Rhinolophus ferrumequinum: one gene and its partners. The protein of the gene in region 3 purifies or fractionates together with the protein of the main gene of each other region. This does not show direct contact. Links are inferred from orthologs where the notes say so. Each region holds a gene or a part of one and is shown on either strand. Other genes may lie near its edges. The genes, in order: LRPPRC, AURKA, NFKB1 and SPAG9.

What was found.
Region 1: the proteins of NFKB1 (region 3) and LRPPRC purify together in Homo sapiens (affinity purification with mass spectrometry; 3 studies listed by BioGRID and IntAct, with this or other methods). This does not show direct contact. The link is inferred for Rhinolophus ferrumequinum from reciprocal best matches to the Homo sapiens genes NFKB1 and LRPPRC.
Region 2: the proteins of NFKB1 (region 3) and AURKA purify together in Homo sapiens (affinity purification with mass spectrometry; 4 studies listed by BioGRID and IntAct, counting the BioPlex papers as one, with this or other methods). This does not show direct contact. The link is inferred for Rhinolophus ferrumequinum from reciprocal best matches to the Homo sapiens genes NFKB1 and AURKA.
Region 4: the proteins of NFKB1 (region 3) and SPAG9 purify together in Homo sapiens (affinity purification with mass spectrometry; 5 studies listed by BioGRID and IntAct, with this or other methods). This does not show direct contact. The link is inferred for Rhinolophus ferrumequinum from reciprocal best matches to the Homo sapiens genes NFKB1 and SPAG9.

Annotation. Positions count from the first base shown.
Region 1 is NC_046296.1:41,111,271-41,118,512, reverse strand, and holds the start of LRPPRC (leucine-rich PPR motif-containing protein, mitochondrial), read right to left. Parts: upstream 3,010-7,242; 5' UTR 2,963-3,009; coding exon 2,814-2,962; intron 1-2,813. UniProt on the Homo sapiens protein: May play a role in RNA metabolism in both nuclei and mitochondria. In the nucleus binds to HNRPA1-associated poly(A) mRNAs and is part of nmRNP complexes at late stages of mRNA maturation which are possibly associated with nuclear mRNA export.
Region 2 is NC_046306.1:5,113,458-5,120,965, reverse strand, and holds the start of AURKA (aurora kinase A), read right to left. Parts: upstream 3,008-7,508; 5' UTR 2,887-3,007; intron 123-2,886; 5' UTR 118-122; coding exon 76-117; intron 1-75. Other genes in the region: CSTF1 (cleavage stimulation factor subunit 1), read left to right, coding at 6,029-6,197. UniProt on the Homo sapiens protein: Mitotic serine/threonine kinase that contributes to the regulation of cell cycle progression.
Region 3 is NC_046288.1:53,442,318-53,450,109, reverse strand, and holds the start of NFKB1 (nuclear factor NF-kappa-B p105 subunit), read right to left. Parts: upstream 3,020-7,792; 5' UTR 2,880-3,019; intron 1-2,879.
Region 4 is NC_046304.1:32,604,721-32,611,582, reverse strand, and holds the start of SPAG9 (C-Jun-amino-terminal kinase-interacting protein 4), read right to left. Parts: upstream 3,004-6,862; 5' UTR 2,839-3,003; coding exon 2,536-2,838; intron 1-2,535. UniProt on the Homo sapiens protein: The JNK-interacting protein (JIP) group of scaffold proteins selectively mediates JNK signaling by aggregating specific components of the MAPK cascade to form a functional JNK signaling module.

The DNA of each region.
Region 1 (7,242 bases), on a different chromosome or scaffold from region 3:
GTCCTCAAAGTCTAAGATTTTCATTGATATACTCAACTCAAGGCAAAAAGCATAAGACCAAGTTCCTGCCTTCAAGGGACTTACAGCCAGGTCTGGAGTTCTGGAGGGTACACATGCAATCATGTTAATGGATACTTTAGTGATTCACGCTGTGAGAGAAAGCAGAAGAAAGGAGAGGTCAGAAGAGAGAAGCAGTCAACAAAGATTTAACAGAGAAGGAGAGAACACTTGAGCGGAGGGAGGGGAGACACCTCAAAAGTGAACATTCTATGCAAAGGCAGGGAGATGTACACCGTGGCCCATCAGAGCCTTGCTGGTCCACAGGTCAGCAGCACCTTTATCACCTGGGGGCTTGTTAGAAATGCAGAATCTCCATCCCCTGCCTAGACCTACAAAATCAAAACCTACATCTGTTTAACAAGATCTCCAAGAAATTCTTGTGCTCATTATAGTTTCATAAGCCCTGCTGACTTTGAAGTAGTAGTTTGGTATGGCCAGAATACAGGATGCCATGGGAAAAAACTCTTAAGAAGCGAGGCTCCAGAGGTATATCCAAATCATGAAGCACCTTATTCGGGAACTAATGGGAGCTACCACAGAGTCTAATTGTAAGTGATTAGGAGTCTAATTGTAAGTGATTAGAAGAATTAAGGATGATTTTCAGTTTATTGCTTTTCCCTGTATTTTGCAATTGTTCCCCAAAGCACAAATTTTATAGTTTGAAAATACACAAGCATACAATAAAAATTAATGTAGTTAATAAAAAAAAGATACACAATAACAATGAGTAAACAAGACAATGATGGCTTTTGCAGTGATGAATGCAGTGGGTAGAAGAGTGAATGTGAAGTGATGAAATGAAGGAGATAGGAGCACAGACAGGAAAGAGAGATTGGGAAACATCTAGAGTAAGTCCCGGGTCCCAGGGAAGGCTTTGTTTTACAGGTGGGAAGGAAGGGATCTGGGCAGCTTACAGGCTGAGGGACAGGAGACTTTAGAAACAAGTATTCATACTGAAGGAGAAAAAGGAACAAATACTTCTCTTATTAGTTGCTATGCGCTGAGTGATGAGCTTGTTCACAGTGGTGAACAAGACAAAGTTCTGCTGTCATGCAACTCATTTTCTACTAAGAAAACAGACAGGAAAAATAAACATTATCAACAAGTGAAACGTGCCATGATAAAACTAAAATAGGATAGTTTTTTAGATTGAGTGTTGGGGTAAGTCTTCTCTGAAGAGACAGCATTTAAGTTGAGCCCTGAATGACAGGAAATCAGCTTTACAAAGGAGGAAGGCCTGTTACCTCTGAGGACCACAGAGGTTAGGTAAGATCAAACAGCCAAGTCAAAGGACCCCAGGTCTGATGAACACCCAGACCTTTTATAATACCCTTTCTACTCCTTTGTTCTCTCTGTTGTTTCCCTCAAACCCAACAGTGAACATGAACAGTAACAATGACCCTCCTCTGGCCCCAGAGGGATGTTAAGGACTAGAAAAATAAGAGTAATTAATTAGCATGACTTTTTCACAAGAAACTTACTTCTGCAAAAGCAGAGGTGAAACTTCTGAAGGTTAACTAATGAGGCCTAATGAGAAAATCCAGACAGGCTCCAGGTTACAAGTAGGCTACATTCCAAAGATTTTATAACTCAGTTGTTAAGTCATAAAACATTTCCTTCGTACAATTTTACGTAGAGAGGTTTCCAGGCTGCTCCACAAAGATCCATGTAATCATACATAGTTATTACTAGTATAGTAACTAATAAAGCACTTACTTGGTACTAGGCCTTATGTTAAATGCTTTACATGCAATACTACCAACATTATTACAACTTCCATCTGTAACTAAGGAAACTGAGGCCTGGAGATGTCAAGTAACTTGTCCAATGGTATTATGCAAATAGAGAGGTCTGCAGTCCAGCCCTGGTCTATTCCAGATACTTAGCTCTTAGTCCTCACGCTCTTCCAAAATACCTTTACTTTAAACACCAGTCTTTCGAAATCAAGTTTTCTCCAATTCTAAAACCTCAGCGCCCATCTCCCCTTCTCAGAATACTATGCAAATTAACAATTTCATCCAGCTTCCCTATCGCCTCTCCCACCAAAGTATATACCAAACCAATCTCCTGATAAATCTCAATTCATGAGGGCATTTATTTACACGTTTGACACCCACTGAGAATTTAACTTGCCTTCGCATCCCCAGAACCCCACGGAGTGCTTTGCACTCATTCATTCACTTACACTAAGAGCCTACTGTGACAATTCCCAACCCATATCATACCTTTGTGAATACTGAGAGGAAAACTCCTTTCAAGAAAATTCAGACAAAAGCCCAAACTGATCATAATGAAACGTCCATCGCTAAGCGATCCCTAGCTCACCCAAAATTCCCAGCCTATCCTCCTCCCCACCAATAAAACTCTCGAAATCTAAGTCCTAGCTGGTTACTGAGCACCAATAATGCTTGCACGTGGGACAGCACCCAAGCCGATTCATCCTAAGGAGAGGACTAACACCTGACCCTCGCTGTAGACAGACTTCAAAGGCCCTCAGCTACACAGGCCGTAAATACCGGTGGCCCGAGGGCAGAATCCAAGACGGAAGCAAGCCATGCCCGCGGCCATGACCTTCTGAAGACAACCAACCCAGTCACCTGGGGAGCTTGGCTCGAGACCCCGGGACGGTTGGCCGTGGAACGGCAAAAAAGGCATGGAGAGGGCACAATAGGGGCCCGTCCCTCAGCAGCATCAATGACCCCAGGGGACGCCCATGCTGCAGGCGGGCTGGGGGAACTGCCTGGGCAACTCACCGGGCGACAGGCCCAGCGCGAGCGGCGGGCCGACAGAGGGCAGCGTGCGGCCGGCCGGGGCCACCCGCGAGGAGGCGCAGGGAGATCGGGAAGCGCGGGGCCGCCCCGGGACGGAGGAACCAGCGGGCGGATCTCAGCAGGGCTGCCATGGCTCCGCTGTCCCCACTGCAGGTTGCACGTTCGGCTAGAAGGACAGGAGGAGCACGTGACCGCGGGGTCGCCCGGCGCGGGAGAGACCAAAGGTCGAGCGCGCCAGATGTAGGGGGAGACAAGGGTTGTTTTAGCTCGGAAAGTGGAAAGACCTATTTCGCTGAGGAGATATGAGAGTCCCATACCCCGTTTTAATGACAATGTGGCTTGATTCGTTATTTAAGGAAAACTGTCTTTCCGTCTTTTGTCCTTCGTCTCATCATTTTAAATCACTCCACCCCCTGAGCTTTTCAGTTGGTAGAGTCGGAAGAGGTCGACTCCTCCCAGGTTACCGCAGGGGCTTGCGGGGGGCCAACCAGCAAAAACCCTCGGGAACTCTCGAGAATTGCCGACTATGAAGATTCCCGGAGTGCGGAGCGATTCTCTGTCGAGTGCGGAGCTTGCTGCGGGCGTTCAGCCGTTTCTACTCGGCGCCGAAGTTGCCGGGCTGATAGGAAGATTCCATAGCTCTCAGAAAAGTGGAAGGGAAGAAACGTTGAGGACCTTTGCACTGTGCTAGTAGCCTCCAAGGATAAATACAATGTGATTTGTACTATTGGGGTCAGGGGACAATGTAAAGATACACGTTTAGGTCCAACCCTAAGTCTGTAAGCAGTACCTGGTTTAAGACATAGGTGGATCTTAACAGAGGTCGTGTAGTTTTAAAGCTGGAACTGAACTTATCTTCCCCAACTTCCGTGCTGCCCTTCCTTCAGTAAATGCACCAGCATCGGAGGTAAGAACGATATGATTAAGAGTCTGGAGCCAAATCTGGGGATAAAACAGGAGGCCCTTGCCTTCACAGGGTTTACAGTTTGGAAGGGTTCCCTGTGCACACGTGGGAAGCACTTCCTCTTTACCTGTCTGTATCCTACCCATGCCCAGGTGAACACTCAGAAGTTTCCTCTGGAAGCCCTCCATGGTAATTTCCTGGTTTGGTTGTTTATCCCACTGGACACTGAGCTCCTTCAGAGCAGGGAGTGTGTGACTGCATCTTGTAGCCCAAGCACATACTCAATGCCACGCTCCCAGTAGGTTTCATTCCGTATTTACTGAGTAAATGTGTATTTTGAGGTGATCTAGCTCATCTCTCCTTACCCCCCTTCAAAGAGGAGTAAGGACAGTGGATGTGAGGAAAGAGCAAGGCAGGGAGGAGAGAGAGAGTGGGCATGGAGGTCTGAGGTAGTTGGGGCCAGATCTTGCAGCTTGTTACATCCCGCTTGCTGTAAGGACTCTGATTTTTATTCAGAATGAGATGGGAAACCATTGGAAAGTTTGGTATGTTGCTGTATGAACCTATTTGCATTTTTAAAGAATCACTGGCTGCTGTTTGGAGAGGTGGTTCTAAGGAAATACAGCTAAATAAAAGTAGGAGACCAATGAGTAAGCTCTTACAATAACTAGAGATGTTAGTGGCTCGGAATAGGGGGGTGGCAGGCGAGATAATGAGAAAGGATCAGGTTTACACTCAAATTGTAGAACCGAGAGGATTTACTGATGGATTGGCTGTGAGATCAAGGATGATTCCAAAATTTTTGGCCTGAGCAATTTGAAAAATGGAAATGGCACTGATTAAAATGGAGGAAGACTAAAGGAAAACAGATTTAAAAGGTGCAATCAAACGTGATCTTCTGGAATAGTAAGCTTGAGGTGCCTGTTAGACATCCTCATGTCAAGTTTGAGTAGGGGGTTGTCTGTACGACATTCAAGTCTGGAGTTCAGAGTTGGACATGCATTTGGGGGATCTCCGGCCTATACCTACTATTTGAAGCCATGGAAATGAACGAAAGCATCTTGCAAGAAAATATAGATCGTCAAGAGATGAGGTCCAAGGACTGAGGCTTGTGACATTTCAATATTTAGAGGATGTGAAGATGAAAATCCAGTACTAGAAATGAGAAAGAATAGCCAGAGAGGGGAGGAGAACAAAGAGAAAGTGGTGGAGTCCCAATTAACTGAGGAGGGAAGTAACCACATAAAATGCTGCTTTTAATTCTGGTAAAATGACCATAGGATTTGGCAACTCAGAGGTCCATGGTGATGTTGAGTCAAAAGATTGATTTAAGTTAGTTTAACAGTCCATGAGGGAAGGGGAAGTGGCAGGGAGCATAACAAACCTTTTGTAGAATATACTGGGAAGGAGGGAGCTGAGAAAGGGGGTGGTATCTAGAAGGGCGTGTGAAATCAAGGGGGGTTGACTTTTTTTAAGATGGAAGAAATAACATGTTTGATGCTGATGGAAGTTATCTATATGTAACTATTTAAGTTAAATTAAATAAAAATTTAAAAATTCAATTCCTTAGTGATTACCCACATTTCAAGAACTCAATAGCCGCAAGTGGTATTAGCCGCAAGTGTCCAATAGTAGCTACCATATTGGACAGCACAGGGAACATTTCCATCATAATAAATTCTATTGATCAGTGCTGAAGTAGGGAGTGAAAAATTGATAATGCATGAGAGAGAGAAAGAGTACACAAAGTAGGCGAGAGGAGATGGGATCCAGTACAAAAGTGAGGGGGTTGACCTTAGATGAGAATCCAGCCAGTCCAGTCATTGTCACAGAGGAAAGACAGGTATCTGGTTATAGATGCAACAAGACTAATAGAGGTAATAGTGAGAATGAATGGATCTTCTCTTCTAATTGCTGAAACCCTTAATCCCCAACGAGCGTTCTCTCTGTTACTGTACCGGGTTTCCTCCTGAAGTATGAAGCAACTGTTGAAATTCGTCTAGGCATTGATTTATTAATTCACTATTTATTGAACACCTAAGATCTGCCACGTAGCTTGTTAAGTGCTAGAAGAAAATATGATGGGCAAAAGCAAGAGTGGTCGTTACAGTTATGGAGCTTACATTCCAGAAGGTAATCAAATAATCACACTGAATGAATTACATACTGAAACAGAGGTTCTGAAGGAAAGAAGCTTGTTTCCACGAGAGAGTATGCCTCACCTGGGAGTCAAAAAAGTCCCCAGGGAAAGGATCCTTAGCTTGAGATTGGAAGGATGAATAATTGTTAACACATGCAAGGTGTGTGCACACACGTGTGTGTGTTTCATATGTTTGTGTAAGAGAAAGAAGGAGTGATGTTTGCTTGTTTTTCAGTTCAGACTTCCCAAGTTCTTCTCAGATTTCTTCAGATTCCAGAAGCTGTGACAAAGAGGAAGAAAAGGCCAGGTTGATGATCCTTGGTTTCTCCCTTAGCTTATTCTGAACTATGAAATGGATTCACATGTTGATAAGAAAATTAGGGGTCCATGTCCCAGTGTATGGTATAGCCTCTGAACAGAATCTTACTAGGAAGGACAGCTTAGATGCAAGATTTTGCAAAAGTATTTAAGTGCTTGGTTTCCTCATGTGTAAAACTGGCGATACCGATCCCTTCCTCCCAGGACTTTTTGGGGAATGTTAGTTAAAATACATAAAGTACTTAAAGTACCAGGTACATAGGAAGCGCCGAAAAATAATGTAGCTACTACGATTGTTGCTGCTTTTCACAATCACGTCTAAACCTCACGCATTTGGGTTCTCCAGTCTTTCCTTGGGTCTGATATTTGACACCAACATCTTCACTGCCTAATAACCTATAACTAGGGTCTCAGACTCCTAACTCAGTGTATTCAGCTGTTAAATGTCTTGTGTAAGCAAAGCATAGGGCAGGTTACATCCCAGGGCAAAGAAGTTATGAATACTATACTTGATGGGCTTAATTTTATTAAGGGAGGATAAAATACATACTATTGTATACAGATAATCATTACATAAGGCAGTGTGATGAGTGCAACAAAGAGGAGGCAAACCAAGTGATTGCTGGGCTGGAGAACAGAAGAAGGTGGGAATGGCATTTCAGCCCTTGAAGGCTGGGGAAGAATTTTAAATGGTGGACATGGTGGCACGGGGGTGGGGGGGGGATGGGGGGGGAGTGTTCCAGGCGCTGGGAACAGCAAGAGCAGAGAGAGCTCTCCTTCCTGTACATACATCCCTCCTAAAACTGCCGAGTCTGCCCGGAGACGATCACGAAACCAGTGGCTTTCCTGCCTCTGTGACTGTGACCAATGGTAAGAAAGTACATTTTATAAGTGACACAAATACACACATGCAAAAATAAATTTCATAAAACAATAAGAAGCTGTGTTACCTGTGATGCACTGGGATATTTACTAATCTATTTTCTTCTATTTCATTTTTTTTTAAATGGTGCTTGATCGTTCAAACAAACCAGCTGTAAGAAGACATT
Region 2 (7,508 bases), on a different chromosome or scaffold from region 3:
GTGAAAAAAATTCCAGCTAGAGGACCGATCTCCATACGGGTTTTATAAATGGGACTCAGACCACAGCTTATTTACCTTAACAGGCCCTGAAATGCAGTTTTCCTTAGGTTTGTCCATGGTGTCTGAAAAGAATAAAGAAGAACTTTTAATTTATACAAACCCACCTGCTTCAAAGTATTGTTACGCTGCATCAGGGTGACAGCGCCTGGAAAAAGCCTCAACAACACAGAATTTTACCCTTTTTCTTCGTCCACAAGAAGCTGATTAGGGCGTAATGCTTTCTCGTGATATAGCGTACAGGTGTGGGCTTTTCCCCATAAGACCAACCTCCCCCCATACACTGCGTCCCATCCCCTCCCTTCCCCAGTACTCAGACTTCACTCCTGATCTGACTCGTCCTACTCCGTCATCTTCTCTCTAATGAATCACTTCCATCAGTATATAAGCCTGCTCGCATACCTACTGGTCTTTAAAAAAAAAAAGTCCTCTACCCCAGAATGGACTCAAGATATGACATCTCTCACCTCCCCTTTCAACAGCAAAACTCTGCAACAGTCCACGCGGTCATCTCTACTACCTGCTCTTTCTCACACCCTCCCTTGAGCCCGCTCCCATTTATTAGTCAACTTTCTGACTGACCCCTACTATCCAAAACCAAAAGTCAATTCTCCGCCTCCATCTTACTTGCATTCTAGGCAGCATGACAAGCTCCATCGCTCCTTTTCCACTCCTTTCTTCACTTAGCTTAGACTTAGGCCTATGAAGTCTCAGAACCTGGACCCTGACCACCTCTCCATCCTTATCTCTTGTCTACTGCACACCAGCCATACGGGGTTCCTTTCTTTCCTCAAAGGAGTTCCCTGCCACAGGGCCTTTGCACTTCCTGTTCCCTCTACCTATAAGGCTTTTCCCCCAATAGAAGTGCGGCTTGCTCCTTCACTTCAGTCTATGCTCAAATGTCCCCTATCAGACCACCTCTCCTGCGTTTTTCTTCATATCCCTTACTTAACATTTTACTTACATAACATTACTTGTACTTGCTTCCTGTCTACCCAGACTCCAGCTACCTGTTCAGTATCTCCAAAGAGAGTAAGCTCCAGGAGAACAAGGAATCAGTCCCATTTTTTTCACTATCTCCCTCAGAACCCAGAACACGCCTGGCATGTGGCATGTATGCCAATGTATGGGGAACAAATAAATCCATTAACAAAGCAAATCAACCATAAAAGTAGTTTACAACACGTGGTAAGCCCATACTGTGAATCAGGCAGCAACCTGTCAAGTAAGTAGATCATCAATAAGCAGAAATCTTTCTGTATTTTTCTCACCCAGGTGCTCTCTGAATTCTAGAATCCAATTAGAAAGCATTCCCACACTAGGCTTTCACATCCACTTATTGTACATGCAAATCACTGCACCTTGAAGATGGGACCAGGGCTGTAGAGGTTAGCATCCTTATATCAAACAGTGGGTAGGAGAAACAATAGATAAAAAGGAGAAGGAAATATATGCTCATGTGTTGCAAATGTTAATCTCACACACCCTACTGCTTGCTTTCCTCTCCCTAACAATTAATTATAAGCAGCAGACTAAGGAAATCACGTAGACCTAAGGACACCTATTCAACGTTCTTCCACAGAAACTGCAGACATGGGCTCCACTTTGATATCCTTCTCAGGTAGATTAATAATAATAAGCACAAGGAATAAGATTTTGATCCAGAAATTCTGGAGAGAGCACCCGGAAGACAGCTTCTCAGGTGCTTCTGGTGTGGAGCCAAGTTCAGGAGTCACATGACCAGATGACCTTCACAAGATCCCTGCAGTTCAAACCAGCGATCCTGGTATTCTACACAGGAAAACTGTTAGATAAGCCCTGTGGGCTTAGACTTTTCCTTCCTTCGTGCAACCTAGTAATATCTGCATACATGAAGAGGGGTGGAGAGGAAATGAAATGAGGTATGTTGCTGAAAAGGATTTAATTCAAACAAGCAAAGCTGAGGAGGAGACATTAGACGTCAAGAGCAGTCGCTACATATACATCACAAGGACAGTTCGAAATAGAGACTTTCAGGCCCACCCCAGACCTAACAAATCAGATCCTGCATTTTAACAACATTCCCAGATGCGCCGGTCTAGATCACTAGTTGTCAAACATCAGTACCACCTGGGGAGCTTGATAAAAGTAGACACCTGAGTCCTATGCCCAAGCCCTTCGTGATTCATTGGGTGGGCCTCTGTGCTTAAGAAAAACGCCCAAGTAATTTCGATATAGGCGGTCTAAGGTTTGAAAAGCCCAGGAAGGCTTCTGACTATCATGGATTCACCCCCTCGTCCATCCAGCCAGGGCAAGGGCCTTTCCTGGCTGTTCTACCCAAGGCAGCCCCCGGTAAAGCGCACACACACTGTTTTATCTCTTTCCTACCACTCATCACTATTGGAAGTTACCCTTGCTAGTTCGTCGTCTGTCTCCCCACCCCCACTAGAAATAAACTCCAAGACAGCACACACCTTCTGTATTTTTTTCTTACTCAGGCGCTCACTGAATAGGAGAATCCCAACAGAAAACATCCCACCCCAACAACGCCATTAACGCCAGGTGTTTAGTAAACACTAAGCGGCATTTCACAGGGAGCCTTGGTACCCAGGAGCAGCTAGATGGGAGAGCGTTTGCAAAGCGCACGGGAGACGGAGAACAGGGAAAGGGGGACAAAGAGAGGATGGAGGGAGGGACAAGCGTAGGACAGAGGGGGACGGGGAACCAAGGGAGGCCTTCTCACCCCGACTCTTCCAGCCCGGGACTCGCGGCCTCAGTGCTCGCTTCCCTCTCACCCGGCCCGCCGCCCGCTCAAAAAGCCACCCAGCCCGGCCGCCTTTGCCTGCCCACCTCACAGAAGGACACCAAGGCCTAGGCACCTGTTGGCTCTCGCCTCCGACCCAAAGCCGCCGAGTCTTCCCGAGAGCCCAGCCGTTAGGATTCAAAGAGTCATTTTAAATAGGAGTTAAACTCTCTAATCCAAAAGCTGATTGGCCTGGGCTGGGGAGGCGCTGCATTTTCATTGGTTCACAGGCAACTCTGCGGATTGAGTCACGTCCAAGGACGGCAGACACGGCGCGCAGGCGTACTTGCGCGTTAGGTCCCGGAAGTGGTGGTGCCAACGGCCCTGCAGGCCTGTAGCTGTTCTAGCGCCCGCCGTGTTCTCCAGGGCTTGACTTTTGTCTGAGACAGAAGCCCCTTGGCTTCAGGGTTGTCTCGTAGGGGATAAAGTCGGAGGAGGTGAACGGACGGACCCCTTAAAGGCGCCAGTAAGTAAGATGGCGAGATGGACCGGAGAGAGTGGGCCGATCGATAGCGCAGCGCTCGGTGCGGCGTCCTTTGCGCGTGCGCAATGAAGGTGCGCTCGGAGTGATCAATCGGGCAGGATTCGCGCCTCCATTTTTCTAGCGGAGAGCAGGAGAACGTGAGAACCGGACAAGCGGGTACGAGGGCCCCGGATACGTGGAGAGTGGCTGGTGCCGTTGGCTGGGGCCTTTAGGGGACCATGGGAAGGATTGGGGTGAGGCGGGAAGGGTCGATAGTGAGCGAGGAGGCATGCGCCCTGAGTTGCCAGGTTGGGCCTGCACCCCCCCTGCTGCACACAGGCCTCGCTCCCACCCTCATTCCATCCTTACTTTGCCTCTGTGTCGGGACGGTAGCGGAGCGTTAAGTTCTGAGCTGTGTGTGTTCCCTCCCTGGTCCGTCTTCTGGCTCCTGGGTTGGGTTCTTCCTGTCCTCGTGCCTGGGCGTCCTCACCTGCAAATCGGGGGTGGTAATTAGGCGCTTACTAGCCCAGCGAACGAACTTTCCGTGGGAGTTGAGAAGCGGGGCTCGTCCTCTCTTTAATTTTTTTAACTCTCTGTGTACACCTCTTGTTGCTCTTGGCAGAAGTGGAGAGACGGGATAGAAAGCGATTAAGTTCTGGGCTCCGGTGTGGACGGTCTTGGCGGCCACTTTCACCTTGGACGAGTTACTCAGCCACATTTTACTTTCAGTGGGTCTCTTTGATCCAGTTTCATCATCTCTTTTGTGTCTACACAAGCATAGGTTTATATACATTCGCTTCTACTTGTACTTAAATACATTGAATGATGTTATGCAATGAGCTAATGCTTATAAAGTACTTAGCATGGAGTCTGGCAAGTGCTTAATAAATGTTAGCTGTTGTTCTTAACACCCATCAGTACAGCACAGTAAAACTCGGGCCCTGGGACCAAATAGACTGGTTAGGGTCCAGGCTGTGCCATTTACAAGCTGTTTGATTCTGGGTGAGTTAAATCTCTCTGGGCCTCAGGTTGCCCATCTCTAAAACAGGATTAGATGAGGATTGAATGAGGTAATGCATGTTAGTTGCTTACAAGATGTGTTATGTACTGTACTGAGTGGCCAATACATTTTAGCTAGTTTATTGTTAAGTTTTTAAGGAACACTGCAAGAAGTGGTTAGGAATAACGGTCTCTATAGAGTCAAACCACTTCTGTTCTAGTCCTGGTTCCTCCAGGCACAAATTGGGAGACCCAGGGCAAGTTATTTCCCCTCCTCCGTAAACAAGATTATAGGACCTCCCTTATAGGATGGTGTTGAGGAATACGTGAGCTAAAACATGGTAAACACTTGGTAGATGTTAGCTCTTATGATCTGGAGCCTCAGTAATTGTGTAGTTAGAAAACATGGTTTCCCACCCCTTTCCTATAACACCCCCCTTCCAGAGTCACCCCTGTAAAGTACAGCAATACCAGGAGTGCTAGTGTTACTGTTCACTCACTCCCCTCCCTCTTATTCATCTCTCTCCCATGCTCTCCTTCCAGTTTTCTTCTCTACCATAACTACATGGGACTTTTATTTATTGCTGTCCCCAGGCTCCTTCAGCCTTCTGAGTACAAATACATACACACATTGACTTTTTTTTTAAGATTTTTTTTATTGTTTATTGGAGAGGGGGAACAGGACTTTATTAGGGAATAGTGTGTACTTCAGGACTTTTTTCCAAGTCAAGTTGTCCTTTCGATCTTAGTTGTGGAAGGTGCCGTTCAGCTTCAAGTTGTCCTTTCAGTCTTAGTTGTGGCGCAGCTCAGCTCCAGGTCCAGTTGCCATTGCTAGTTGCAGGGGGCACAGCCCAACATCCCTTGCAGGAGTCGAACCGGCAACCTTGTGGTTGAGGACGTGTTCCAACCGCCTGAGCCACCGGGCCGGCTCCACACACGTTGACTTTTGATAATCATATTGTCTAGTCATGTCCACCTATTAGAGTCCTTTTCTTTTTTGCATGAACCAGAAACCATCACTACCATTTTCTCTTCACTTTCTAAGACTGAGGGAGAACTCAGACACTTATAAATCAATCTAAGTGTACAGTCTTTCAGAGTTTTACATTTTTTTCCATTTATTATTATTGTTTTGTCCATATGCTATTTGTTCATATTTTATTAAGCAGTTCACCTTTGAATCTTTCCAAAGCATTCACTTGACTTAGTTTTCATAGCACAGTAGCTTTTTTGCCTTCATATTTTATTTACTGTTTAATTAAATTATATAATTTAACAACCTCAGTTGCTTTAAAACTTTTTAAGAATGAATATAGCTGACATTAGTAAGCATACAGCTCAGCTGGTGGAAACAGTAGTGCCTAGACATCCAATAATAACAGCTATCTTACCTGTTGCAAACACCAGTCAATGTTTTATTAACAGAAGGAATGGAAATTCTGGGATAGCAAGAAAATGAAAATCACAGGTGGGTAGTTTAGCAGAGAAGAAATGCCCTACATACACTATCTTGTTTAGCCATCACTAACTTATTTAACAGCTGAGGAACCAGATTGAGAAACGAGGTCGCTGGGCAAAGATAATGCAGGTGGTAGAGCTGTGACTGATGAGCCGCAAATCTGACCCGATTTCTTGGTTGCTTCTGTGATTTACCGGTGACCCTCCCCCTCATCAGCCACTCGTTTTCTCTTGCAGCTGACAGGGAAAGTGTCTTCCGCGTCTTCAAGATGTACAGAACCAAAGTGGGCTTGAAGGACCGCCAGCAGCTCTACAAGCTGATCATTAGCCAGCTGCTGTATGACGGCTACATCAGCATTGCCAATGGCCTCATCAACGAGATCAAGCCGCAGTCTGTCTGTGCGCCCTCAGAGCAGCTCCTGCATCTCATCAAACTCGGTAGCTTGGGAGTGCACGTTGATTGAGCCCATGACGAGGTTTCAGATGTTTTCACACATCAGAATTTTTCAAGACATTTCCACTTAATTTTAGTGCCTAGTATGTGTCAAATACAGTGCTAGATACTGAAGGAGTAAGGATCGTCCAAATTATGAAGACTTTGAGCTGGTTCCAGCCTCAGCATCTTTATGCGAATTATCTGGAGCATTCTGTCATGTGTAATTTTTTTCAAGTCTCAGCTCAAATTGTCATCTCTGAGTCCTCTTTTCCTCTTCTAGAATAACCCCACCATCTTCGCCAGTTTCTCTAAAACAACAGTCCCATTTCCTTCCTAGCAGAATTACTGTCTGAAATGTTCTTTATTGCTGTAGGTTTTCCACACAATCCATACCTCCCCCTTCAAAAGAAGCGCAAGCGCCAGATCAGGACCTTGTCTTGTCTTGTTCGACAGTGTACCCTGCTGCTTGCCTGGGTCACGGAAAACACTCAGTAAAACAGAGAATTACCAAACATGCTTATACCCTTTGACTTGGCAGGGCCAATTGTGAGAATTTGTCCTGAGGAAATACAATGAATACAACTGAAATGCACAACGTGTATCATTAGTTAATAATGTTCTGATAGCCATACAATTGGATCCAACAACGTGACGTAGATGAACATTTATTACACTGGCTAGATGTTTATTCTGTGTGAATAAATGAACACGTCATATAGTGTGGTTCTTCTATTTTTAAGAAGTGAAACAACTTTGTGCAGGGGGAAAGGTCCAGAAGAATTCATACTGCCATGTTAACAGTAATTACCGTTGGGCGACATAAGATCATTTTTTTTTTCCTTCCTATGGATATTTTCCTATGCTAGAAAACATTGTTTATATGATACGTGAATTATTTTTAAATTTAAAAATGCATGTTGATAAAGTAGCAGCATTCTTTCAAATGTTTCATGTTAATGCTAATACTACCTCTGACATAATGAGCGTCGTAGCTGCTAACATCTCAGCACTAAAAATATTAAAACCCGGAATGGGCAGAAATGGACAATTTAACTACCGAATGCTGTTTTTGAGTTTCTGTAGTTGCAGTTAAGGTAGAGAATTTTGGAGGCAAAAACTGGGGGGCGGTGACTTTGCGTGTTGAAGCCTAACCCGCATTGCCTTACAGTGTTGTCTCCAAGCATGCAACCTGGTCGGTGTACCTAGTTTTGTAAAGTATTAAGTCATGTACCTCCACGACACAGTGAGTTGACATTGGCAAACATCTTGCCCGATTTTAGACCCAGAGCTTGTCTTGGTCTTTTAAAACATTT
Region 3 (7,792 bases):
GAGGTACAAGTGTGCAAAGAGAGTTAATTCCCAGAAAGCAGGGTAAACTGCTTCAATGTGGTTTACTGGTTACCAAGAAAGCGTTTGTCAATGAACTCATATCATACATAAACGTAGATGTAGAAACAGAACATTTGAAAGTGTCCTCCAGCACTAAAATTCTATCCTTCCTTCTTCTTCTCCTTCTCTTCTTACAGCATATAGCAATCATGCCACCTTTTATGAGTCATATAAACAGAAAACCAATCAAGCAAACAAGGCAACTTTCCTTCTAAGTAAGGTAAATTCATAAGAAATTTTGCTTAGCCATTGATTCTTATGTATCCATTCCTGCTAATGTGATTCATGTTCAATTTGTAGACTAGAAGAGCATAATTTGAATAGTTACTCTATTGGTTAAACAGCTCTGCATTTCCAGACACACTTTCTACTGCAGTCATCTCTATGTTCAGAACAGGACACCTACTAATAAGTTCTGAAGAAGAAAAAGATCATATTTTGACTATCAAAAATCCATATGGAAACTCAGATATCATTTTTTAAAATGTATTGTTTTAAAATGTCAACTATTGTTCTTTCTTCTCCTAAGTTCAAACTAATTGAAGGTTATGAAGTAACCACTTCCCCTCAGAAGCCAGAACTTTCACCTCTTGTGAACAGGGGAATACTGGGTAGAAAATGAGGCCCTGCTGATTGAATGAGAGTCCCAGATTCCTATAGCCTCCAATTCCTTATCTAGACCTTCTATCTACCACAATAAGCAGTACCTGAAAATCAGGTACTACTAAAACTTATTTCATCAATTATCTGGAAGTATGAAAGCAGTGGTAAAAACAACCTGCATATGTATTTGTTTCTCAAACTAGCTTCAAATTGTTTCAAGGAACATGACAAGAGAAATACGTCTCTGAGGAATACAATCACTAAATCTAAAATTCTGCCTATTTCTGACTAATTGAGCTTTTACCAACTGCAACTCAGTCATCACAGACAATTTTGTTTTAAGAGGTAGAAGAAGGAAGTGCAAAGATCAAAGCAGAGCTTAAGAAGGGGAACAACTATTTTTGTATGTATACTCCAGTATTTACTAACTGGGTTTGAAAAATAGAGGCATTTATTCAGCTGATGTGAATGCCAACTGCCGAACATAAGACAAAATTGAAATTACTAAACAAAAATAATAGACTTTCCAATTGCCCCCAACCCCAACTGGATTATAGTATTTCCCTTAAAAAGTCTTCTCAACAATTTAGAAGTGGTTTACTCTTCACAATAAGCAGTATTTCGGTGCCAGCATTAAATCTACACATAATGAGTCTTCCTTTGTGTTCACGTTTGTCCAGTAGGCTGTGGCCCAGGAAGACATTTTATCTAAACGAGCTCCAGGAGGCATTGAGGAGCTGCAGGTATATCAATATGGATAAACAATTTCAGGAGATTTCATGTTTACATTTACCATGTATGTTCTTCTCACTGTAGCAATTTAATTACGTGATCAATGTAAAAGGCTACAAGAAACAAGTCTTTTTATTTCCTGGCTTCCCAAGTTCATAAGCTCAAAAAAATACTTTGCTTTAAATCATTTCCAAAATTCTTTAGTGCATGAAATAGTAAAAGAATTCATTTCTAGAAAGCACAATATTAAAATCAGGAAAACAACATGATTCAGCCAAGGGCTTTATTTTAATCAAGATTCCTTTTTAAAGTTTTAACAAACGCTAATGCAATTCAAAGTGCTCAAGAATACTCAATTGAGGTATTGCTAGAAAAATAAGCACTGAACATCTTGATCTCAAACTTTAGGGTTTCCAAAGCTCATCAGTTTGTAGAACATTTGTATGCCAGGGCTGTTGAGTGTTTTAGTAATACTGTAGTCATTTTCTCAGATTATGGGCTTTATGACAAAATCTGTAAGTTAAATATAGTTATTTAATAAGCTGCAGTGCTGAAAAACCCTACTTAACAAATCCATGAAAATGTCTTAAATCTTGATAATCAGATACTGTGTCATTAAGTCCCATTTAAGTTTCAGAATAGGCCAATAAATCAGGGCAAACACCTCCATCAGTATTTATTTATTTTTAAAGACCATGAGAAAACTTGGATCTAGGCTAGGCTTTGTTTATAGCATTTTTTTGTTTTAGAGGTCATGCACAACACATGGTACCGTTTTCCAAGTGTTTCATAATCAGAGTGTCCAAAAAGTGATCTAAATAGGTAATTTCTTTTCTCTCTCAAATGCCAGGCCCTGGAGATCAGTCTCAGGCCCTCGTTTTTTTTTTGAAAACCAATGTCCAGATCCTATAGTAGGTGAATATATTATGTCCTGGTGCGTGTGTGTGTGTGTGAAGTGGGGGCTTCTTTTTTGAAGGAATAAGGCTGTCCTATTCAATTTGGGGGAGCTGGGGAGGGCTTCCCCAGCCGAGAGGACTGCCATGCACTTCTGCTTTCATTTCATGGAACGCCCTTAGGTGAAATCTGGTTCAGCACTGCACCAACCACCTTCCCCTCTTTCCTTCGCGCCCAAGCGCACCTCAACCTTAAAGCCACCCCGCAGCAGGGAGTGGGGGTGAGGATTAAAAAAAGTTTGCCAGAGTTCCCCTCTGGTTCCGTTCCCGCCTGGCGGAAGGACGGGAAGAGAAAGGGCAGCCCGGGCAGCCGTGGCCCTCGGGCCGACTGGCCCCCGCCAAGTCCGGATGTGCCTTTCCCCCCTCTCGCCAATCTCTTAACTCCTGTCAACCTCCTCCTAGGGTCCAGGGTAGCGGCTATCGCAGGAATGAGGAAGTCCTAGCAGGGCTGGAGGGGTGCGGGGCGGGTAGGTGGCGGGACTCGGGCCGCAAGTCCCCGGCGTGGCCCCCACTTGCCCGAGTTTGGCTTACCGTGGTGGCGGGTCCGCGCTCGGCCTCCCGGCGCCTGCGGGCTCCCCCTCCGGGGCGGCGCGGGCCTCGGGGCCGCGTTAGGAGGAGGCGGAGGCCGGCCGGGGCCAAAGCACGTCCGAGTGCGGGTCTGATCGGGTCCGGACGAGAGGGCGCGCGGTCTCGCCGGGCCGGGCCAGTCAGCGCCGCGCCATGTCGCAGCGCGGGCGGAGGGAAGCGCGGGGCGCGCGGTGGCCGGGCCGCGGCGGCGCCGCCTTCCCGGCCGCGGCGGCTCTGGCCTGGGCTGCGCGGGGTCTCGGAGAGGGGCCGGCGGCGGGGCGCAGGCCGAGGGCGGCGGCGTTGAGGAGAGGCCCGACGGACGGGCAGGGCAGGGGAAGCTGTCAGCGCGTCGCCGGGCCGCTCCGGTGGCGAAACCTCCTCTTCCTGCCCCGGCTCGCTGGTGCACTTCTCTGTCTCTCTGTCTTGCTCACTCTCTCACTTCCTGGCTGGAAATTCCCACTGACGTCGAGCGAGAAGACAGACAGACGGACACACGCGCGCACGCCGCGGGGGCGGGAGGTGGGGTCGCCACCGGGGGTGGGGGAAGCCCGCACTTCTGGGGCCGCTGTGCGCCCCCGGTTCGGCCCCGCAGCCCCGCTCGGCTCCCGCCCCTCGGGGCCGCTTCGGGGCGGAGAACGAGGCGCGCGGTCCGAGGCCCGGACGCCGGAGTCCCCTGCGGAGCTCCTGCTCCCGGGCCGGCGCTCCCGGAGCCCCGAGGGCTGGAGCGGCCAGGGACGCCCCCTGAAGCGCCACCGGGGCCCGATTGCCCCGGGAAGCAGGCGGCACGGAGGCGGTGGCGTAGGGCTGGCTGTTGGATTCGGGAGGTCCAGAGCCCCTAAGGACAGGCCCAAGCACCTGGAGAGGATGATGAGTCGGCGTGGAGCTAAGCATGCCTTGTATAAAAATAAATCTCATCTGTCTGTTCCCTTTAAATTGTCTCAGTTACACCCAAATCTTTTCACAAATTAAAGTGGAATTTCTATGATATAACCGACTTCTGTCCAGCGCAGTCTGAGCATCTGAGTTTCGGTAACTTGGTTGGGACTTATTCTGAACTCCCATCTACAGGGCATTATGATAATTACGGTGGATAGAATTATAGTGATGGTGGTAGCAGTGGTTTTGGTCCACAGCTCATAAAGAAATATTGATCCAACAGAAGGGAGTTTTTCTTTTTCTTTTTCTTTTTTTTCTGGAGAGACCGCTGCTGGAACGTCCAGCAGGCATCCCACCATTCACTAGATCTGAGCTTCTTTACTTTCCAGGCATTGCGCTAGACACGGGCTGGGGATACCCTGGGGTAGTTTAGCTCCCTCAATGAGAAACTTTGAGTGGATATTTTAGAGTTCATTATCTCACCACTGTGACAACTGCATATTTTAAAACATAGGTCATCAAGCCATCACCAGGCAGTGTTGCTATGACATTGGATTGCCCCTAGCAAGTTGGCCATGTTCCCTTTAGTCGTCCTCCTCGCCCTTGCCCCAACCTCCCCAAGGTTATAAGAATCTTCTTGGTGGAGTGTTTGGCGGAGAAGTAGAGATCCGTTTGATTGGGTCCGGGGTGAGTCTCTGCAATGACCTTGGGGACCAACCAACAATCTACGTTCAAGGGATTTCGTTTAACTCCCACAGGCTGTTTGAACAGCTGTAATTCAGGCGATTTATGAAGACTGAAGACTGTTTTACAAACACTGCGTTATTACGTATGGGACATTATTAGAAATTGCGCCAATACTGTATTTTAGATTAATATATCCTTTGTATATATTTTTTGGTCACTGACATGAGCATAAATAGTGCAAACTCCCATGAAACAACCAAGTATTAGAGGAGTGGTGGTGTTTTTTTCTTGTTTGTGGAGCAGGTGTGAACAGCCACACTCTTCATTCCAGGCATGGGGTTGAGGCGTTGAGGGGGTAGTGAATAGCCTGTTGCCGAAAGAATGGACAGACAGGGTTGGATTGTTGGAAGAATAGAGCCAGCGTGACATATTGGGAACAAGTAAAAGGTGTTAATTAGTGAAAAACATTAAATTAAATTTCAAACTCAAAATTATCCAATAGAGTGGACTTAAAATTGAGGGCTGGGTGTTAGGCAGGAGTATGTAGTTTCCTAGAGGTACCTTAACAAGTTACCACAAACTGGGTGGCTTACGACAATGGAAATTGATTCTCTCACAGTTCTAGAGGCCAGAAATCGGAAATCAGGGTGTCAGCAGACCCATGCTCCCTCTGAAGGCTCCAAGAAAGAATCGTTTCTTGACTCTTCCTAGCTTCTGGTAGCTCCCGGCTATCTTTGGTATTCCTTGGCTTTTAGCTGCGTAACTCCAATTTCTGCCTCTGTCCTCACATGGCCTTCTTGCCTGTGTCTCTGTATCCAAATCACCTTCTTCTCTCTCGTATTAAGACACCAGTTATTGGACCTAGAGCCCACCTCAATCCGGTATAGCCTCATTTTACCTTCATTAATCTGCAAAGACCCTATTTCCAAATAAGGTCATGCTCATATGTACCTAGGATAAGGCCTTGGACATATTTTTGAGGGGGACACAATCAAATACACTAAGCAGACAAAAGTATAAAAGCCCCCAGTCTACTCTTTTTGGCTTATCAGTTAACCTTTCTGCATTGCTGCTTTGTTTCCCAATACTTACTCTACACCTGCTTCCAGGAGTGTTTCTTACAAATTAGGTGTCAGAGGGCATTTGCCATTATCAGAGTATAATGAAAAAAAAAGCCTAAATGTGGAATTTTAGGCATCAAGTTTATAAAAGTTGTACTGTGTTTATCACTAAATCTTTGAAATCACATGAATTTCCTTTTTCAAACTGAGTATTATAAATGTCAGTGTCCAGAAGTTTGTTAGGTTGAGATCTATATAGTGTGTCCATTGACAATGAGAGATTATATAGTGTGTGAAGGGGATTCACAAATACAAAATTATACATCTGAGCCCTGCAAACTCAGACCCATCTTGTGGACAGGAGTGAACTATATTTCTGTAAAGGGTAGAACTTGCTTCAGGTCACGAAGGCACCTCAACATGCTTAGAAACACTCAGACCACAGCTGTTAGGTAAGATAAAATGGAAAGACTTGAGTAGACTTGAAATCAGACTTGAGTTGGAATCCTAGGTTTGCCTTGAATTATCTGTGTAATTTTTGCCAAGTACTGCTTTGTATGAGTTTCAGTTTCTTTGCCTGTACAATAATCATAACATTATAGTTCATATGATGAGCTCTAGAATAGCTTTACATAACATTTTATGTATGTTGTATTGCTATGATCTGAATATTTGCATTCCCCCAAAATTCATATGTTGAATTCCTAACCCCTAAGGTGATGGTATTAGGAGGCAGGGCACTTGGGAGGTGATTAGGTCATGAGGGCAGAACCCTCAGGATTTGGATAAGTGCCCTTATGAAAAAGACCCAAGAGAGCCAGCTGCTCCCTACCATCGTATGACGATATAATTAAAAGTCTGTGACTTGGAAGAGAGCCCTTACCCAACGATGATGGCACCCTGATCTTGAACTATGAGAAGTAAATTTCTATTTATAAACCACAGGGTCTGGTATTTCGTTATAGCAACACAAGTTAGTAGATTAACACATGTATGTATACATACATAAGTAACAACTTATATGTTGCATTATGCATATATGTTACATTATTACAATCCTGCCTCACAGAGGTCTAGAAACAAATAGGAGATAAAGAATGTAAAAGGTTTTACAAACATAAAGTTAGTCTAAGAAAAAAGACTTGAAATTAATTTCCTTGTGGGCTTAAGGGACTTCTATGCTTGCACTGTTGACTACTGGGGCACACAATAGTGGCATCTCTCCTTGTTGATAGTGGAGTATTTCATTACACCTCCATTTAAAAGGCTTGCCATATTCTGTCTTGTGCTTGCAGTTACAGGTCTTATTGACGGAGCACTCAATTAGCCTGTATAAGTGGTTACAAAAGAAAAAGAAGATGTAATCTCTGCTCGCAATATAAAGCCAGGAAGAATGACCTCATATAATAGCCAGGACAAAAGTGATTTGTGTAATGGGTCATATCACCAAGAGTAAAATCAACAGAAGAGGGCGTAGAGATCATCTTCCTCTCGAGATTATATGCAGAATCCAGAGTTTTATTCCGTTGGCAATGCAGACACACTGAAATGAGACAATAAATTTACAAGAAGAATGTCACTGGTCTTAAGGATACTAGCATCTTTTCTATCAATTCAAATGAATATTTACGCACTATCATCACTGCCTTCAAAGAGTTCACAAAACACAAAAGAGTGCGTGTAATTATAGTATGAGGCAGAGTACAGTAAATGCCTTCATGGAGGTTTAAGCAAATGCTTAGGCATAGGTAGGGAGAGAGACCACAGTGCTTGCATTGTGCCTGGTGGTTAAGCTCTCGGACTGAGGAAAACAGGTGCTACCTTCAGATTGGAAGCCAGTGCCTGACTGTGCCCTTCACAGAAAATAATTCACTCCTGTTCTGCCCTGAGTAGTTATGTGACCCTGGACAAGGTGCATAACTGTTCCGGCCTTCTTTTTCTCATCTGTAAGATAGGATGATAGTTATGCCCGCCTTGTAGTGCTATTGTAAGGGTCTAAAGAGATCATGCACATGAAGTGCAGACCAAAGTGCCACATGCTCAGGAAACTCGCATTTATATTGGTTATTATTATGAATACTGTTGTTTCTTTCAGGAAAACTTGATGAAGAAGATAGCATGTAGTGGATGTTGGAATGGTAGGTATGATACAATAGCAAAATGATCAGAAGAAAGAAGACAGACAGATGAGGGGGAGTGAGACTTACAAGGTCTGAGTTTATAACATTGTAACAAAAAGACTTAAGTGGAATT
Region 4 (6,862 bases), on a different chromosome or scaffold from region 3:
AGTTAGCCATGGTGAACCTCTGAAGGAAAATCATTCTAGGCCAAGGGAACAGCACAGGCGAAAGCATCAGACAGAACATGGTTAAGGAATGAAAAGACAGACTGGGGCAGGGAGCCCAAAGGGGAAAGTAGTGAGCAATATGATAATAGGGTTCCTGAATTTTTGAAACGGATCACAAAAATCAGCCTTCCTTTAGGTTGTTTTTGAAGACTTACAAAAAGAGGTTAATGCCACACAAAAAATTCAAATAAAAGCAAAGAAAACGAGAGAAGTTATTCAAATTCAGTAATATCGTTATAATAAAGATTAAACATCTGGTTCCTTGCTGAGAATTCCTGCAAGCAAGAGATAGCACTTCACACCTCTTAAAACATTCTCACCATTTACATATCCTCCTAAATTTCCACAAAGGTGTTTAGAATTTACTTTACAGTTTCTAGTGATGGACAATTTCCATGCTTTTAAATACTTTTGCTGTAAATACCCTGAGGCACTTTTGCTATAATAGCAGACTCTTAGTCTCCATATTAAAGGCCACAAACAAAACACTCACAGAAAATTAAACACAGAATTCCCTTCCGCATATTGACTTAAAAGAGACTGAATTTCTGGGTAGAGGGTAATACTTGATTTATGATCTTACATGAAGACTGATAACAAGGTGGTTTTATGTTTGTGGTCTGGGAGTTGGCACATCTAGCATTACATCAGTGTTCTCTATTCTCAGGTCATGGCCCTTTGCCCGAAGGTTTCATTATAGAGAATTTATAGATGTGTTTGAAAAAGTATAAATTACAAGAAAGTCACTGGATAACCTATTTTTAAAGTCATTTGCTTAAGAAATTAATATGCAATCCAGAGTCTAGCAGTTAGTTTTATTTTCTGATTCTGCAATCTGTGGCAGATGGTTTTCTTGGCACATGTGACCCTGGCATTTTGCCCTGGTTTTTGCATGGACTGACAGTTTAAGACTGGAGGGAGTATTTCTTTTATCCGAAGTTATAGGTCATGCTGGGCGTGCTCCTCACCTGTGTATATGTGATTAATTTCCCAGTCCGATCCAAGTACATCCACACATTAGCAAGGGCCTGTCTGAGCAGGAAGACCTGGTATGTATGCCACCTCAGAAGGAGTACATGACCTCTGTTCTATAAACAGTGCTAATAAACTAGTGGAAATTGTGACCCCCATCCTTGGATTTTTTTTCCAACCGCTCCTTCCCTATATGCTTGGAAATGCTCTTGAAATAAAGTCAATTTTGTTTGACAACATTTCTTTGAGACAAATGGATCACAGAATCAGAACTAAAAATCATAACTACAGTCAAGCTTAAAAAAGAAAAACGATTTGACCTGTCACAAAGGTATATGTGATGAAACAGAAAGTTTACATAGTGGTACTACTTAGTGTTAGGAAACAAGCTGGTAAACAAATCTCACATCCTAAAACCTTTGCAAGTATTTTTGAAACATACCACGTCATTCCTTCAATGAGTTAGCTTCCTTCAATCATCCTGTAATTTAGTCAGGTATACTAGATGCTCAGGAAACAAAGATGAATAGGATACTTCCCCTGCATTAGATAGTTCCATCGGAATAATGCCAACACAGCCTGAAAGCGAAAATCCTTGAAAGTCTCAAAAAGTCGAAGACCTATCTCTTGAACACCACCAGAGCTCCAAAAGGTTCACAGACCTCGGTGCGGGTACTGAGGTCACTGCTGAGGTGCTAGCCCGCCAAGCGCACCTGGAAATTACAGTCGTAAAAGGGCTGCCAACAAGTCACCTACACCTCCTCGACCCCGCCCCCGCCAGTCCTCCTGATAAACAAACAGGATATTTAAAGGGAACTGTCCAAGGTTACCTACCACCTGATATGGAGGAATGCTTTGCTGTGGGATACCAATAAAATAAAATTGTATACTCCATACTTACAGAGTATTGCTATACAACATCTCAGGGTTGACAAAGAGTCAACCGAGGCACATGAAACGTAACATAAAACCTCTTTCTCAACAGGGTTAAAACGTCAAGAAAAAACATGATCGAAAGAGGGAGAGCTCTAACTTCCCATAGCAGTAACCCCCGGGAAAGGTTTTGGAGTCAGCGGAAGTTACGAAGCCAGGACAGAAGTATTTAAATGCACCCCCGTCCCCAGGGTAAAAGTTTGAACCGCCATCTGAGTATCTTATGGTGGTCGGAAACTTCCCTAAACTACAAAAGGCAACCATACACTCTGAAATCTCTGCCCCCAGCCCACCCTAGGTGCCCCAATGCCAGGCTGTGGTTTCCTCCCGGGCCTTGCCTCCCCAGCTCCCTCCCTTCTCCTGGACACCCACTAGCCTGCCTCGGCTTTCCACGCCGGCCGGGGGTTTCGGGAACCTTGCGGCCGCCGAGGCGGGTCCGCGAGCCTCCGCTTCAGGCAGGCCCGCCCCCATCAGGCCGGACGCGGGCGCGCCTCCCCTCCCCGGCCGGGCGGCGACCCCGGCCGCCCCGGCACTCGGCGCGGACCCTCCCCGCAGCCAGCCGGCCCTCACCTCCTCGGCGTGCTTGCGCAGCGCCTTCTCCCGCTCGTACTGGGTGATGAGCTGCTCGTTGTCGTCCCGCAGCAGCTCCAGCTCCACCTGGTGCTCCTGGTCCTGCGCGAACACCGAGTCCAGGTTCTCCAGCACGGCCACCACCAGTGGCATCAGCTCCTTGACCACCTCCTCGTCGTAGCGCCCGATCAGCCGCTCGAACTCGCGGTAGATGGAGCCGGCCAGGCCGGACACCCGCTCCGACATCACGGCCCCGGAGCCTCCGGGCTCCTCCTGGTACACTACACCGTCCTCCAGCTCCATGGTGGCGGGCAAGCGGGCGGCCCGGGGCGTCGCCGGCTGAAGGGGCGGCACGGGCCCGCACGGGACGGGCCCGGCTGGGGCTGGGGCTGGAGCTGGGGCTGGGCCCTGCGGGGTGGGGGCCCGGGGCCTGAGGAGGGGAGGGGTGGGGTGAGCGCACTCAACCCAACGGCCGCTGCACCAACTGCCTGGGCGGCCCGGCCGTGCGCGGCACACGTCACCCGCGGGGCGGGACCGGCGCCGCGTCTGCCCGATGGGCGGGGCCCCGCGGGAGGCCAGGCGCGGCCGGGGGCGGGACCAACGCGTCATCATGCGCCGGCGGAGGCGGGGCCAGGCGTCAACAGTCGGCGCCGCGCGCGCCGTGCGTTCGCCAGTGAGAAAGACTGCGAGAGTAGGGTAGTGGGGACTGTGCGCTCTAGACGTGATTTGCAGGGCGGGGCCCAAAGGAAAGGGAGGGCTTCTGGAATCGTGCGTAGCTGTCCAGAATTAACATAACTAACATTTCTATTGTTTTACAGCTCACAAAGGGCTTTCTCATTTGTTCCTCAATACGGGCGCGATGAGGTAGACGTTTGACCTCTATTTCACAGACTAGGAAAGTAGGCCCAGAAAAGTTGTGGTTCACTCAAGGTCACGCAGCTAGAACGCGAAGGAGGCTGATCCGAGACTCAAACTAGTTCTGACTGAGAATTAGGCAGGCTCGGAGAAAAGCAACCTTAACCAGGTCAAGGTCTGTCTTAAGTGATAAGGAGGTCTCCAATAGGATAGACCTATTTGGGGATCATGAGTAAGGATAGGTTGAAACAGAGGAAGTGCAAAGCATTCTGGAAAGGATAAAATTGTGATGCCACATCTTGGTACTTTCCCAAACACTGAATTTCTCTGCTTCTCCCGTCCAACTTGGGAGAGGCATTTCCTGGCTCCAGCCAACCCCCTTTCCTCTTGTCTCGAAGTGGGGGCGGAGCGGGGAAGTGGGGGTTGGGGAACAGAGAAGGAAAGGGGTAGGATCACTGGGGTAAGTCCCATGATAAGTGAGGTCTCCACCGCCCGGGAGAGCATCACGTGTGGGGAATGACACACCCAAGCCTGCGGCGGGCTGAGTCTAGAATCGCTTCCCGGTGTACTCGTCTAGCTTCTGCAAAAGGATCGGAAGACACTCCCCAAAGCCCCTGCACTCCGCCCGCAGGTGACTCAGGAGTACTGCGGTCCAACTCTAATAAGAAGGGGACCCGGCGGGGGGCGGGGGAGGAGAGGCAGGCCTTGCATAAACAAGGGTGTAGTGGGAAATCGGCCACCTCCCAGGATTATAAATATCCTCAACTTGGTATTTACAAGTGCGAGTTCTTCCTACCGAGCACGAACTAGTCCTCCAAAGTCTCCCAATCTGGACCTACCTGGAGACCCACAAAAACAGTACGAAGGTTGAGCGAGGGCCAACCTATAAATTCAGAAGGACAAAAATGAAAATACTAAGCCTTATGAAGTCAGACGGGACTGAATTTGCGTCCTGTATTGTCCTTTCTCACTCTCACCCCACAACTCCACACCCACCCCTTAAATTGTTTGTGTATATCCCCGGCTTTTAGGAATGTCGGTCCGCTGGTTGGGTGTGAGCCCCAAATGCCCTTTCTCTTCTAAATCTCACAGTTGAAACCAGAAGAAGAGGCGTGCTTTGCATCTTTCTTTTCTTTTTTATCTCTTCCTGAGGGCTGTCACTTAGGCAATCTACCTATATATGTGCCTGTATTTTCCTGGGAGTCAGAGCAACAGGGAAACTCAGGGCAAGGTTTTACTTCGTCTTTCCCCAATATTATTATACACATAAATTTTTTTTTTTTAAGGAGGACGCAGGTCACCTTGGCCCATGCGGGGATCAAATCAGCAACCTGGGTGCTACCAGCACCATGCTCTAACCAACTGAGCTAACAGCACCCCTCACCCCCATCAGAAAATTTTTAAGAAAAAAAGTCTTGATTTTCAGGTATGAAATAATAAAGTCTTCATAATAAGTATGCTTCTTTACGTATAAATTCAACATAGAGATATATATTTATGTCTAGATTTTAAGCTCCTGCTAGCTATCAGAAATCAAATTTGTTTAAAATAAAATTCAGCCAAATATCCATCAACTGTTGAATAGAGAAATATGGTGTATGCATATAATGGAATATTTATTTTTCAGCAATAAAAAGAAATACATGCTACAACACGGATGAACTGTGAAAATATTATGTTTTGTAAAAGAAACGAGTCACAAAGGGCCACCACATATGAAAGATTATCGTGTTTCCCCGAAAATAAGACCCAGCCAGACAATCATCTCTAATGCGTCTTTTGGAGCAAAATTAATATAAGACCCAGTCTTGTTTTACTATAAGACCAGGTCATATATTATGTAAAACTGGGTCTTATATTAATTTTTGCTCCAAAAGACGCATTAGAGATGATTGTTCAGCTAGGTCTTATTTTCAGGGAAACACAGTAGTTGTTCTAGGAGTAGGTGGGAGAAAGAGGGAAAATAGGAGTGACCGCTAATGGGTTTAGGGTTTCTTTTTGGGGGTAATAAGAATGTTCTAAAATTGATTGTGGTGTTGGATACACAACTCTGAATATACTAAAAGCTATTGACTTGTACACTTTAGGTGAATTGTATGATATGTGACATATCTCAATGAAGCTGTTAAAATTAAGTCAAACTTATGGCTATAATGAGTTTATAGTAAACCAAATGGAAGTACATAACTCAGTGTGATAGAGTGGAAGGAAAATGGTTTTTAAATTGGGGATCTTATATTCCAATATGGACTGGTCATTTTGAACTTAGGCCAGAAACTATAATGCAAGTAGTTATTGAGTACTGTACCTACTAGGTGCCAGTGACTGTAATAATGGGCTGTGAGCCTCAGCTTCTTCATCTGCATGATGAAGAAGTGTGTTATAGAATCTGTAAAGATTTCTTGCAATTCTAAAATTCTGTGATTCTCCTTTGTAGGTGGGAATGAAAGACAGAAAAGAGAGGGCCTTGAGATAGAGTCCCGTTAGTCAACTCCTAATTATGTAGTCGGTAATGCTAACTCCTATACCCAACAGCTTGGATAAATTCCCAGCACCTACCTCTAACCCCAAGATCTGAGATTATTATTAAAGACTAAGAGTCATTCAAGAAAACAGGTCATGCAGTGGACTTTAGAGTAAATGTTTACTCTTGATTCCTAAAAGGAAGGAAATTCCATTTTAAGAAATTCTTTGGCCTTGCAAAAATAGAGGCCAGTAAGGGAGCCGCGGAGGGGAGGAGTCGTTTAGGGCAGGAAGGAAGGAGATTCTTCCTAAGTACAATAACTATAATCACTGGAAGACTAAAACGACTAGTCCTGTTGTTTGTCCAGCCTTCTGGAACTTTTAGTTATTTCTACGTGAATCAGTTTCTCTGGTTTCACAAATGACGGTTTCTCACATGGGAAGAGAGAATGTCTCTCTGCTGACAAGGGAAAAGAGGGCTCCCAGTTCACAGGGCCTTCCACCTATGGCGGTGTGAAATGATAAGTGATTCATCACCCCTTACAAACTAGAACGTGCTCCGCGACAAGGAGAAGCAGCATTTGCCACCTCAAAATATGCCTCTTTGAGATATATTAACCTGTTAAATAACGAAAGACTCAGAAAGAACCTTTGAACTTCACCCTCCCTGCCTAAAAGAATTTGGATAGAGGATCTGCTCCAGGAAGGGAGCTATTACTATAGAGTGTGATAGAGAGAAACCTAGAAAGGCACTTTTGATCAAAGTCCTGTCAGTATCCCCTTGTTAAAGATCCCAGCAAACACTGATTTACCAAACATTTGTTTTTCCATCTCCATGAGAATTGCCTTCCTGCCCTTTAAAATCCCAAATCACAACCCCACCTTCTCCTTGGTTCAGGATGGTTCCAGATGACATACAAGCCTTAACTTCCCCATCTGCCCTCCAGGCCCATACTGCTATGGCATCCCAGTATATATACATGTAATACATTTGGTTATTTTCTCCTGT